Linked DNA regions of Saccharomyces cerevisiae S288C. Changing the gene in region 2 together with the main gene of any one other region gives a genetic interaction. Each region holds a gene or a part of one and is shown on either strand. Other genes may lie near its edges.

Evidence for each region.
Region 1: mutations in BTN2 (region 2) and YML108W together harm fitness more than expected from each alone (negative genetic interaction), as found in Saccharomyces cerevisiae (one large-scale study listed by BioGRID).
Region 3: mutations in BTN2 (region 2) and YHC3 are lethal when combined (synthetic lethality), as found in Saccharomyces cerevisiae (2 studies listed by BioGRID, with this or other methods).
Region 4: mutations in BTN2 (region 2) and ISC10 together harm fitness more than expected from each alone (negative genetic interaction), as found in Saccharomyces cerevisiae (one large-scale study listed by BioGRID).

The regions. Positions count from the first base shown.
Region 1 is NC_001145.3:53,019-55,635, forward strand, and holds YML108W (uncharacterized protein), read left to right. Parts: upstream 1-1,774; coding exon 1,775-2,092; downstream 2,093-2,617. Other genes in the region: ZDS2 (Zds2p), read left to right, coding at 1-1,450; PML39 (Pml39p), read right to left, coding at 2,247-2,617.
Region 2 is NC_001139.9:770,803-774,217, forward strand, and holds BTN2 (Btn2p), read left to right. Parts: upstream 1-1,651; coding exon 1,652-2,884; downstream 2,885-3,415. Other genes in the region: VPS62 (Vps62p), read left to right, coding at 1-1,170. UniProt on the Saccharomyces cerevisiae protein: V-SNARE binding protein that facilitates specific protein retrieval from a late endosome to the Golgi. Modulates the rate of arginine uptake. Involved in pH homeostasis. Required for the correct localization of IST2.
Region 3 is NC_001142.9:323,214-326,716, forward strand, and holds YHC3 (amino acid transporter YHC3), read left to right. Parts: upstream 1-1,750; coding exon 1,751-2,977; downstream 2,978-3,503. Other genes in the region: BNA3 (kynurenine--oxoglutarate transaminase), read left to right, coding at 173-1,507; BIT61 (Bit61p), read right to left, coding at 3,029-3,503. UniProt on the Saccharomyces cerevisiae protein: Plays a role in vacuolar arginine transport. Involved in pH homeostasis. May be involved in ion homeostasis together with IST2. Not necessary for mitochondrial function or ATP synthase degradation.
Region 4 is NC_001137.3:549,201-552,095, forward strand, and holds ISC10 (Isc10p), read right to left. Parts: upstream 1,328-2,895; coding exon 524-1,327; downstream 1-523. Other genes in the region: recombinase DMC1, read left to right, coding at 1-317; SLO1 (Slo1p), read right to left, coding at 1,665-1,922; YER181C (uncharacterized protein), read right to left, coding at 2,273-2,596. UniProt on the Saccharomyces cerevisiae protein: Indispensable for spore formation.

The DNA.
Region 1 (2,617 bases), on a different chromosome or scaffold from region 2:
AAATGAGAAATACGTTGATAGCACCAACTACTATTCGGATGAAGAAGATTTGACACATGCATCTATTTCTCAAGAGAGCAGTCTTTTATCTACAGATAGTTCTAACAACAGCGTTTTAATAAAGCCGCATAACACTGGTTCGATGATTTCTGAAAAATTGGATCAGCACGTTAGCTCGAGTGAAAAATCAAATACCAATAACAGCGAAGCAAATCATGGCTGGTCATGGTTGAATTCTAGCAATGGAAGTTTGAACGCTAATGAACAAACTTATCAACAGCTTACAGATGATGAAGACGATGAAGAATGTGTGGACAATGAAAAAGCTGACTTTGTTAACTTGAGTGTATCGAGGAGAGCGAAATCTACCAAACGTGCCTCTGAAAGAATAAACCATTCCAAAAATAGACATTCGCCAATTTTCCAGATACATTCTGAAGAAGCAAAATCCGTGGTAATCACTCCTTCAGTCGTTTCTTCATCTGAATCCCAGCCATCTAAGCCTACTGCACCGGCAGTCGTGGAGAAAAAGGTAGAACTGCCTACTGACACCCAAGCCAGTACACATAAGAAAAATTCCTTGGAGAAAAGGCTTGCCAAATTATTCAAAAGAAAACAACATAATGGTACCTGCAAATCAGATGTGAAAGTAATCAAAAAAAGTGTTAAAAAAGAACTGAAAAAGAAGGCTTCGCATTCGAGTTTATCAAAATTCAGGAAAAGTCCCAAGAAAAAGCCCCAAGAAGCGGAAGTTGAACGCCCTTCATCCCCCACCAAAACAATTACCACCGAAGATATAGATACAGCAAGCGTCATTGAACCAGAAGTGAGAAGTTCAAATGCTTCCACCCTTCTTCCTGACAGCCATACTAGCCACAGTTCTGAATTTGTGGTGGAAACTATAAGCGAGTTAGATGGCGACGATTCATTTGATATTAGTGGTGGTGATGTAAACTACGACGTCGAAGTGCACTCTAGTATCAGTAGAGATACGACAGCTGGACTAGAAGAGGATATAGGAGCAGAGAGAGAAGACAACACTTCACCTACTGCCCCTCAAATCTCAACTTTGCCTCCAAGAAAATTGACATTTGAAGATGTCGTTAAACCAGATTACTCAAACGCTCCAATAAAATTCACAGACAGTGCTTTTGGATTCCCATTACCAATGATAACCAACTCTACAGTGATTATGTTTGACCATCGTCTAGGAATTAATGTTGAAAGGGCTATTTACAGACTCAGCCATCTGAAGCTTAGCGATCCCGGGAGGGAATTAAGACAACAAGTATTGCTAAGTAACTTCATGTACTCCTACTTGAATTTAGTCAATCATACCTTATACATGGAGCAGGTGGGCACTGGAGATATAGCCTTCAATGGTGATTCTGCCTTGGGAATGATGGACAAAAATGATTCTGATGGCACAATCTTAATTCCAGACATTTAACTCATAACTGTTTACAAGATTGATAGATACCTATATAAGGCCACATATTTCAAGTATTGTAAGGATGCCCTTTTAGTGTCAAACTTCTTATTATCACGAAAAACGTCGTCTTTTCATGCAAGGAAGGACTACAGTATATACATATAAATATATATTTATGTAATTATTTTTTTCTTTTTTTTTAAATTTTCTAGCGAGAATGAAGAAAAGCCGACCTCATCTCATCCTATTTGGAACAAATTCGAATGATCTGTCCAATACAGCAAGGCTACCTTGCGGTTGAATTCTATCTCGTACTACACTAAGACGAAAGAGAAAAACGAAATGTCCAAGAGTAATACTTATAGGATGCTCGTCTTACTAGAAGACGACACCAAGATAAATAAAGAAGATGAAAAATTTTTGAAAGGTAAGCCGGGAAAAATGCATGAATTTGTTGACGAGTTGATACTTCCATTTAATGTTGACGAACTGGACGAATTAAATACCTGGTTTGATAAGTTCGATGCCGAAATATGTATACCGAACGAAGGTCATATCAAATACGAAATTAGTAGCGATGGTTTAATTGTACTTATGCTAGATAAGGAAATTGAAGAGGTTGTCGAAAAAGTAAAGAAATTTGTCGAAGAGAATAACTGAAATAATGATGTTGCTTCGGTTTTTTGCATGAATATAACGTGACTGTTGCGTATGCATATGTGCACGTAATTTAAAGAGAGAGTGACAGAATCTGCGCATCAGCATGGGGGCATATACAAGCATATGAGAATTTGGATAATGTATTACATCTAATTTATAAAGTTTGTAGAACAGCCTCTAATTTATTTAGTCTTTCTCCCACGCCCAATTTCGTTATTAGTTTGTCCTCCTTGCCGATTAACTCCAGCAACATTGTGGGCAACAACTCTTTGTTGTAATACCGACACCATAGAGCGTGTCCGTTAAATTCTGTATATTCTAACTTCTTCAGGGATGCTCGATGAAAGCAAGCCGTGCATTGAACCAGATCATCCTTCTGGAATTTCGTGTAGCCGAGAAGCAACAGACCTACGAGAGAATAGTCTTTACAATCGAAAAAAAATGCCAATTTTTGTATTTCTTTCTCAGACAAGTAATGAAATATACGGGAAGAGTTTCTTTTAAGGCTAAATTCATTTGATCCGG
Region 2 (3,415 bases):
CAAAGGGGCAATGTACCGCAATATGTCATCGATAATAGCCCTCTGCTCCATTTATATAGTGAAGAAAAGTACTGGCCAGCTGATGTTAAGGATTTTGTAAAAAGATTCCAGTTGAGAGACCACAGTGGGGAGAAAATTATCAATGAACACCTTCGTGACTTAAGTGACTTACAAGAGTATTATTCGGTAGAGTTAGAGAACGGAACGTGGGGCCGAGTATCCAGTGAAGGTACATATATGACAAGTTTAGATGATTTTGATAAGGGCCCTGACTGGTTGTTGGGTGAACAACCAGAATATGGTACAGGTCACATAAAGAAAGCACCAGCAGTTCTTTTTGTCGTTGACAAAGGAAATGGTTGGGTAGACGCGTTCTGGTTTTATTTCTACCCCTTCAATTGGGGTCCTTATATTATGGGCTCCGGACCATGGGGAAATCATGTAGGGGACTGGGAACATTCTTTAGTACGATTCTATAAAGGAGAACCACAATATCTATGGATGAGTGCGCATGGGGGTGGTAGTGCCTATAAGTTCGAAGCCATTGAGAAAATCAAAAGATTGCGTCGTGTTGACGGTAAATTGACAAACGAGGTTATTAAGAAGCCTTTAATATTTAGTGCAAGAGGCACACATGCACATTATGCATCAGTCGGTCAACATGCGCACGATGTTCCGTTTTTCTTTATGCCATTGAGTGACTTTACTGATAGAGGGCCATTATGGGATCCTTCTTTAAACTATTATGCCTATACAGTGACTGTGGGGGAAAAAATGACACCATGCGGCGCTGAAGAAACTAAAATGGGACTAGAATGGCTATCGTTCAAAGGCGCTTGGGGCGATAAACAATTAAGACCTAGGGATCCCAGACAAAAATGGTGCCCATTTCAATGGAAATATATTGACGGACCAAAAGGTCCACTATTCAAAAATATGGAAAGGGTTTCTTTATGCCAAAGATTTAAATGGTGGAATTTTTGGAAGGGCTGCCCGGCAAGAAGATATATAAAAAGAGGGGAAGGTTTGGATGCAGAAAAGAATGATCTTGTGGGTGACAATTGTGGTATCTTGCTGTACAACATAAGGCCAAAGTGGCTGCGTAGCATACTCCGTTTTTTGACGTGGAGGGGAAGCGTATGTTTCATTATGGACTACTTTACAGGGTAATGAATATTTGGGCGTTTTTCGCTATTTTAGCATGCTGTAGTGTATGTACTGTGCATCGTCATGTAGCACTATTTCAGCCGTATTTTTCTTTTTTTCTTTCGCACCGTCTGTGGTTGTAAAGTTACTGACACTTTTTTTTCTAGAAAGTTCCGGAAAATTGCGACACTCGGTGGAGCTCGAGAGTTGTATCCAGTTTTCTTGTTCGGCGATATTCCGAACCAGGTCGGGTTGGGCTAACAGCCGCCCAGGATGGAAGAATTAAGAATTTCATAGAAGCCTTCAGTTCTTGGCGAAGTAAAGTGGCAAAACAAATGGAAGATCTATTGCATTACATATATAAAAGCATTAGAACAATCTTTTCTCATTGACAGGTATTCTCATTGCTCTATATATATTTTCTTCTTCTTGAAAGAAATATCAGTATTACAATCATAACAACAACCAAAAGAAAATAACTAATAGACCCCATTACAATATAGAAATGTTTTCCATATTCAATTCACCATGTGTTTTTGAACAGCTGCCATCTTTTAGTCAGCCCCTACATTCGCGTTATTTTGATTGCAGTTCTCCAGTGAGCTATTATCCAGAATGTAAAAGGAGGAAAGCAATAAAAGCTAACCTAAGAGCTCCAAAAAAAAGCGATGCAAATTGTTCAGAACCTTTGAGGTATGCACTTGCTGAAACACCAAATGGTTATACATTAAGCTTGTCTAAGCGGATTCCATATGAACTTTTTTCAAAGTACGTTAATGAGAAATTAGGTGAGCTAAAGGAGAACCATTACAGACCAACTTACCATGTTGTCCAAGATTTTTTTGGAAACCAGTATTATGTTGAAGATGAAGCGGATGAAGATGCTCTATTGAGATCTGCATTGAAAGATCTGGATTTTAGAGCCATAGGAAAGAAAATTGCTAAGGATCTTTTCCAAGACTACGAAATAGAATTGAATCATAGAGGTGATGAATTGAGCATATTGAGTAAGAAGGATAAAATCTTTAAGGAATTCTCTCTAGACCAAGTGTTTGAAGATGTTTTTGTTATTGGCTGTGGAGTTGAAAACATAGATGATGGCTCGAGAGAAAAATATGCACTTTTAAAGATTGGTTTAGTTAAGCATGAGGAAGAAATTTCCGAAGGTGGCATCAACGAACCAAAGATGCCAATAATTGAATCCAAAATAGACGAGTCTCACGATGATGTTAACATGTCTGAATCTTTGAAGGAGGAAGAAGCGGAGAAAGCGAAAGAACCACTAACCAAAGAAGACCAAATAAAAAAATGGATAGAGGAAGAAAGATTGATGCAGGAGGAAAGCAGAAAATCAGAACAGGAAAAAGCTGCCAAGGAAGATGAAGAAAGGCAAAAGAAAGAGAAGGAAGCCAGATTGAAGGCAAGGAAAGAATCTTTGATAAATAAGCAAAAAACCAAGAGGTCCCAGCAAAAAAAATTGCAAAATTCCAAATCATTGCCTATCTCTGAGATTGAGGCCAGCAATAAAAATAATAATAGCAATTCTGGTTCAGCAGAAAGTGATAATGAAAGTATAAACAGTGATTCTGATACGACTTTGGATTTCTCTGTGTCTGGTAATACACTAAAAAAACACGCTTCACCCCTATTAGAAGACGTTGAGGATGAGGAAGTTGACAGATACAACGAGTCCCTAAGCAGATCTCCCAAGGGAAACTCTATTATTGAGGAGATATAATGGGTGATAATACATACTCCCCATCTTTCATTTTTACGGCATTAAATAACTAATTATATGCATCTTATATACTACTATAATTCACTGACTTTATGAAAGGAATATAAATCGGCACGGCAGAAGGCGGATTTATTTTGTTACAATATAACAAAATAAAAGGGCAACAGTAAAGTAGAAATTATTAGTATCCGTGATTTTAGTACAATTATTTGCTTCCTAGAAATCCGGTTTTCCATGTTAACATTTATGCTAGTATTTTATGGTGGAATGGCAAGTGATTCACAAAATACAAGCTACTTTATCGAATGATTGAAATTCATTTCTGCTTGAATAGAATTCAACTATCGTTTATCGATTCTATTTTGAGGATTCCTATACCCTCGAGGAGAACTTCTAGTATATTCTATATACCTAATATTACTACTGTTATTAACAATGGAATCCCAACAATTATCTCAAAATTCACCAATATCTCAATTCCATCTTTAGAAAAATTAAGTTCAAATTAACGGAAACAGTAATCAAGTAAAA
Region 3 (3,503 bases), on a different chromosome or scaffold from region 2:
AGTAGCATGTCGTGTCTAGCACGTGACGTAGAACTGTGGCTTTTTTGTTGTCATTATGACAATCAAGATACCAAAATTCAGTCATGTTTAAAAGGGGAAGGTACGATAGAGATATATATAAAGTGTTCAATTTACTATAATTGCGTATAGAATCCATTGTTACTTGCTCTCAATGAAACAACGATTCATTCGTCAATTTACGAACCTAATGTCTACTTCGAGACCGAAAGTTGTTGCCAACAAATATTTCACTTCTAACACTGCCAAAGATGTTTGGTCGCTAACCAATGAAGCCGCTGCAAAAGCTGCCAATAACTCCAAAAACCAAGGCCGTGAACTTATTAATTTAGGCCAAGGCTTTTTTTCATATTCCCCTCCTCAATTCGCCATTAAGGAGGCTCAGAAAGCCCTAGACATTCCAATGGTCAATCAATATTCTCCAACTAGAGGTCGACCTTCATTAATTAATTCCTTGATTAAGTTGTATTCTCCTATTTATAACACAGAATTGAAAGCGGAAAATGTTACCGTAACAACAGGTGCCAATGAAGGTATACTTTCTTGCTTGATGGGGCTTTTGAACGCTGGCGACGAGGTTATTGTTTTTGAACCTTTCTTTGACCAATATATTCCAAATATCGAACTTTGCGGTGGTAAAGTTGTTTACGTCCCCATAAATCCTCCAAAGGAATTGGATCAAAGGAATACTAGAGGTGAAGAATGGACCATTGACTTTGAGCAGTTCGAAAAAGCGATTACATCCAAGACAAAAGCTGTCATTATCAATACCCCTCACAACCCAATTGGTAAAGTTTTCACGCGCGAGGAATTAACCACTTTAGGTAACATTTGCGTCAAGCACAACGTTGTGATTATATCTGATGAAGTCTATGAACACCTTTACTTCACTGATTCTTTCACTAGAATTGCCACACTCTCTCCAGAAATTGGGCAACTAACCTTAACGGTCGGTTCTGCCGGTAAATCGTTTGCTGCTACTGGTTGGAGAATTGGTTGGGTCTTATCCTTGAACGCAGAGTTGTTAAGTTATGCAGCTAAGGCACATACAAGAATTTGTTTTGCATCTCCATCCCCTCTACAGGAAGCTTGTGCAAACTCTATTAACGACGCTTTAAAAATTGGGTATTTTGAAAAAATGAGACAGGAATATATCAACAAATTCAAAATTTTCACATCGATCTTTGATGAATTGGGACTACCATATACAGCTCCAGAGGGTACATATTTTGTCCTCGTTGATTTCTCTAAAGTGAAAATTCCCGAGGACTATCCCTACCCAGAGGAGATCCTGAATAAGGGAAAAGATTTTCGCATTTCTCACTGGTTGATCAATGAATTAGGTGTGGTTGCCATTCCACCAACTGAATTCTATATCAAAGAGCACGAAAAGGCTGCTGAGAATTTGTTAAGGTTTGCAGTTTGTAAAGATGATGCTTATCTAGAAAATGCCGTAGAGAGATTAAAACTACTCAAGGACTACTTATAAGATAAATTTTTTTTTATACTCCTTTTTCTCAATATATAGATTTTATAAAGCATGTATATTTTTATGCAGAAGTGGTAAATATAAACATCAATATTCCAGAATAATTCCATATTTTCTTCGCGTACTACAAGAAAAAGTGAACCCTTAATGAAAAATAGACAATATGAACATTTAGTAATGTTTTGAACAGTGTATTTATAGAGTACTTAAACACATATGAAGATATAGCGCAAGTAAATATAAATGAGTGACAAATCTCATCAGATATATTGCTACTTTTGGCTCTTTGGTTTGATCAATAATGTACTTTATGTGGTAATACTTTCAGCAGCTGTTGATATCGTGGGTCCTACCTTGCCTAAATCTCTAGTATTGCTAGCAGATATATTCCCATCACTCGCCATTAAATTGTGTTCCCCATTCTTTATTGATAGAATCAAGTACAGCTATAGAATATGGTCTTTGATCACGATGAGTTGCTTAGGAATGTTCTTAGTTTCTTTTAAAAACTTGTTTGTTTGTCTTTTAGGAATATCTTTCGCATCTATATCTTCCGGATTTGGAGAAGTGACATTCCTACAGCTAACACACTATTACAAACAAATTTCTTTGAATGGATGGTCGTCAGGTACTGGTGGTGCAGGAATCATTGGCGGAGCATCTTATATGTTCTTAACTTCAATCTTTAAAGTTCCAGTGAAGCTAACTTTACTAGTATTTAGTCTCCTTCCATTTGCATTTTTGTTTTATTTTAAATTAGAATCCAATGATACCAACCTGACTTACCAAAGTCTTCAACAAATTGACGAAGCAGAGGATGACCAGTTGGTGCCCTTTCCTGTCGCCTTTACACATACCAACGCTTCGCAATCCCTGTATTCTACAAGACAGCACATTTTGCAAACGGTCAAGAGACTTCGAAGATTGGTTTTTCCATACATGGTTCCATTGACCACCGTCTACTTATTCGAATATTTAATAAACCAAGCGGTAGCTCCGACCCTATTATTTCCGATTAATGGTGATGAAAGAAGTAAATCGATGCCATTTTTCTTCCATAAATACAGAGATATATACGTAACCTATGGAACGCTCTACCAATTAGGTGTCTTTATATCAAGATCCTTTGGACATCTTATGAGAATGAGGAGTTTATACATCTTAGCGTTTTTACAAGGTGTGAATTTGTGCATAACGGTACTGCAATCATGGTTTTATGTCACACATTCGCCCTGGGCGGTGATGATATTAATATTCTATGAGGGTTTTCTTGGTGGTGCGTCATATGTTAACACATTCTTAAATATTCTCGAACAAGAGGATCCTGATGAAACAGAGTTCGCCATGGGTGCTGTGTCCATCGCTGATTCCTTTGGCGTTTTTTTGGCTGCGTTACTTGGTTTGGGGCTAGAACCCAAACTTTGTAGGCATCAAATTGCCGATGACAGACCTTGGTGTAGGATGGAATAAAGTTTTGTTGTGATATTAAATAGGAGATTGAAATAAAGTGTTAGATGCTTTCTATATACTCATTCTAATGCCTGCTAATAACTCTTCGATAATTCGTTGATTTCTATCATTACTTTGAATGGTACTCAATATGCCAAAACACTGCAGTAATGTCAATTTATCTGTTTCTGTGACATTACTTTCTTCTTCTTGATTGAAAATGTAAAGTTGAAAACTTTTGCTGATACCATCGTTACTATTTACGAAGTTTTCATAACAAGGTAAGACTATTGAATCTCTAAAGCACATAAGCAAAAGAAACCCAATAGAATAATTACCATTAATGTGAGTCCGACTTTCATTGCCTGACTTTAAAACCGTAGAATTACCATCTTCTCTGATACTCTGATCCAACGGTAATAACACAGCGGCTAAATCATAATATACCTCTTGATAAAATATCCGCCATATAACGCCTAATCTTTTCAATGCGTTATTTATTGTGTCTTCATTAGAATAGTTAAAAACAATTTGGTTTTCTAAATTG
Region 4 (2,895 bases), on a different chromosome or scaffold from region 2:
GTGAACTAAGCGAAAGACAGCAAAAGCTAAATCAACATCTTTTCAAATTGAATAGATTGGCAGAGGAATTTAATGTTGCAGTATTTCTGACAAACCAAGTTCAATCAGACCCAGGTGCTTCTGCATTATTTGCCTCGGCAGATGGTAGGAAACCAATTGGAGGGCACGTTCTGGCACATGCGTCAGCAACAAGGATTTTGTTGAGAAAAGGGCGTGGTGACGAAAGAGTTGCCAAGTTACAAGATTCCCCAGATATGCCTGAAAAAGAATGTGTCTACGTAATTGGTGAAAAAGGTATTACCGATTCAAGTGACTAGTTTTTGTATACTTTTTTAATGAAGATGACATTGCTCCTTTATTAAACTTTTCTTTTACTTTGTGTTACTAATATTATTAATATCTTGTTATGATTCTTTGTTTTAGCAGCTCCAAAAGAAAGGAATATTATAATATAATTGTTGTAATTCGGAAAAAAAATATTAAATTACTATGGTGCATATGCGTATATAAAATTGAGCATTACCTAACGCCATATATTACTATCTAAAGTCCTCACAGATGATGTGTTTTCAAAATCAAATGATTGGAGCTCCTCATCATCATCCCCGGTAAACTGCTCGGTTTCAGATCCATTATCCAGATACCTCAACGGGCTAGTGTACGCAATTGAAGGGTACCTATAAAATAAAGTACGTTCCTCTTTCAACTGAAAAAACCCCCGATAATCCCTTGACAAGAAATAATACATAATATAATCTCGCTTTCTGACAAGACTTTTCAGTTCTTGGTACTCTAATTCCCGTTCGAAAACCGGATATGTGCCAGCAATTTCGTCAGTTATTATAGCGTTTATAATAGCCTCGTAGTCATCGGGCTCAATTCTATTTTCGTAGTTGAACAGACGGTAAAAAGGGCTACAGTCATAATTATGCTCGCATTCCTCGAGAATAATATCTGAATCAGATTGTAAATGTATGATATTTCTTGGCGTTACAACAATAGAATCCTCAGGCCCTGATATTTTCTCTATAGATGGGGAATCCGGTATATAGTCAAGGTTGATATCTGTTAATTCATTTGAATTTAGGTTAGCGCGAGCTTCAATTTCGTTAGGCTTCTTGAAATTTGCCTTAACTGGGATTTGCTTTGCCAATTTTTTGTCATCTAGCTTTTTTCTATGATTGAAATTTAGGTCACGAAGCCTTATATGTTCAAGATCCTTGGATTTTGTAGCAGCTTTTTCCTTTATCAAGAAACTGCTTGACTTCTTTTGCGAAAAAGGGTGGGTTTGATTTTCATCTTGATGCAACCTCTCATCGACATCCATTTTGTCACTGTGTCTGAGAATCTATACTTCAGGGCCTGCTACAAGAAGTAGAAACTAAAATACAATGTTACAAATGCGAGAAGGGTTTTTTTTATGATCATGAGTGACCGCAATAAAATCTTTCGAAGCTTTTTCGAATATTTTAACATTTTTTCTCTATAGCTTCTTTGTGGCATCGCCCATGGGATCAAACCATACTGGTTTCTTTGTAAAACAGGCGCAAAATATAGAAACTCAGAAAAAGAGAAAACGAGTAGTGGAAAAATTTATCAGCCATTTATGCGACGCATCCGTTTGACTGATCTACCTATTTAAAACAGAAACCTACGTTGAAAAGTTATTTTTCCAACACATTACTGGATCTCATCAAATTGCCAATGTAATCTTCTAGATAATCATTTTCTTGCTTTAGTTGCTCACACACCTCTTGCTGCTCTAAGGTTTTATTCCACAACAAGTCTAATGTATCCTTCAGAAGTTTGGTTTGGCGCATCATCCTCTCATTTTTTGTTCCAGCTTCTCTTTCGCCAAGATTAACTTCAGAGGATGGCTGCTTGCCCGTCGGCGAGCCAGTACTAATGTTCTCCGCTGACATTGTCCTATTTGTTTGTTTGCTATTATAATTTATCTAGTCAACAACTTCGCAGATCTACAAACTGGTCCTTAAGATGTTTTATTGAAGACATCATTTTTTATTTTTTTAAGCAGAACGTGCTGTGCTCTCCCTTTTGGGCCTTTTTACGATTTTCAAAAAAATTGGTCTCTAGCGGGATCGAACCGCTGATCCCCGCGTTATTAGCACGGTGCCTTAACCAACTGGGCCAAGAGACCTGTAATCTGTGTTAAACCTGCATAAATTATGAAATCATAGCAACGTTTCAAATACTTCAGATGCCCCCATCCCTTCGTGTAGATGATGAAATGAAACTCTAGAATATCATCCATTTAGTAGCATTCTTGCTGCTGGTATAGTATCATATGAGATCTAGGAAGATGAAATGAAGCTTGAGAAAGAGTTAGCAAGTTTAATGGAAGCTGAAATGCAAGAATTGATAATGTAATGGGAAAATGAAGCATATAAAACGATAGGAAAAATAATCGTAATATTATTGTATGCAAATACCGATTAAATTTGAGGATCCCTATACCCTTGAGGAGAAGTTCTAGTATGTTCTGTATACATAGTATTGAAGCCTCTATCAACAATGGAATCCCGATAATTATCACAAAATTCACACAAACCTCAGATAAACGTAACAGTATTAGCATACATAATTATACCCAGGCTTCTCCCACAGTGCGCATGATTCGCTACGAAATCATCAATTTCACATAATATTGAGATTGCATTTGTTTTTGTTTCTTGCGTTGTCACTTTTAATTCTGCTGTATTATCAACTCCTGCACTTAGCTTCTGCAAGATAAAATGACGACTTGAGCATCATTCTCAGATTCAGTTGAAAGTTGCTGACGATTTTCAGGGGTCCCATTTCTAGTAAAACGACATTAGACATATACTAGAAGTTCTCCTCAAAAGATACAGGAATCAATAAAAGAGAATCGGCAAT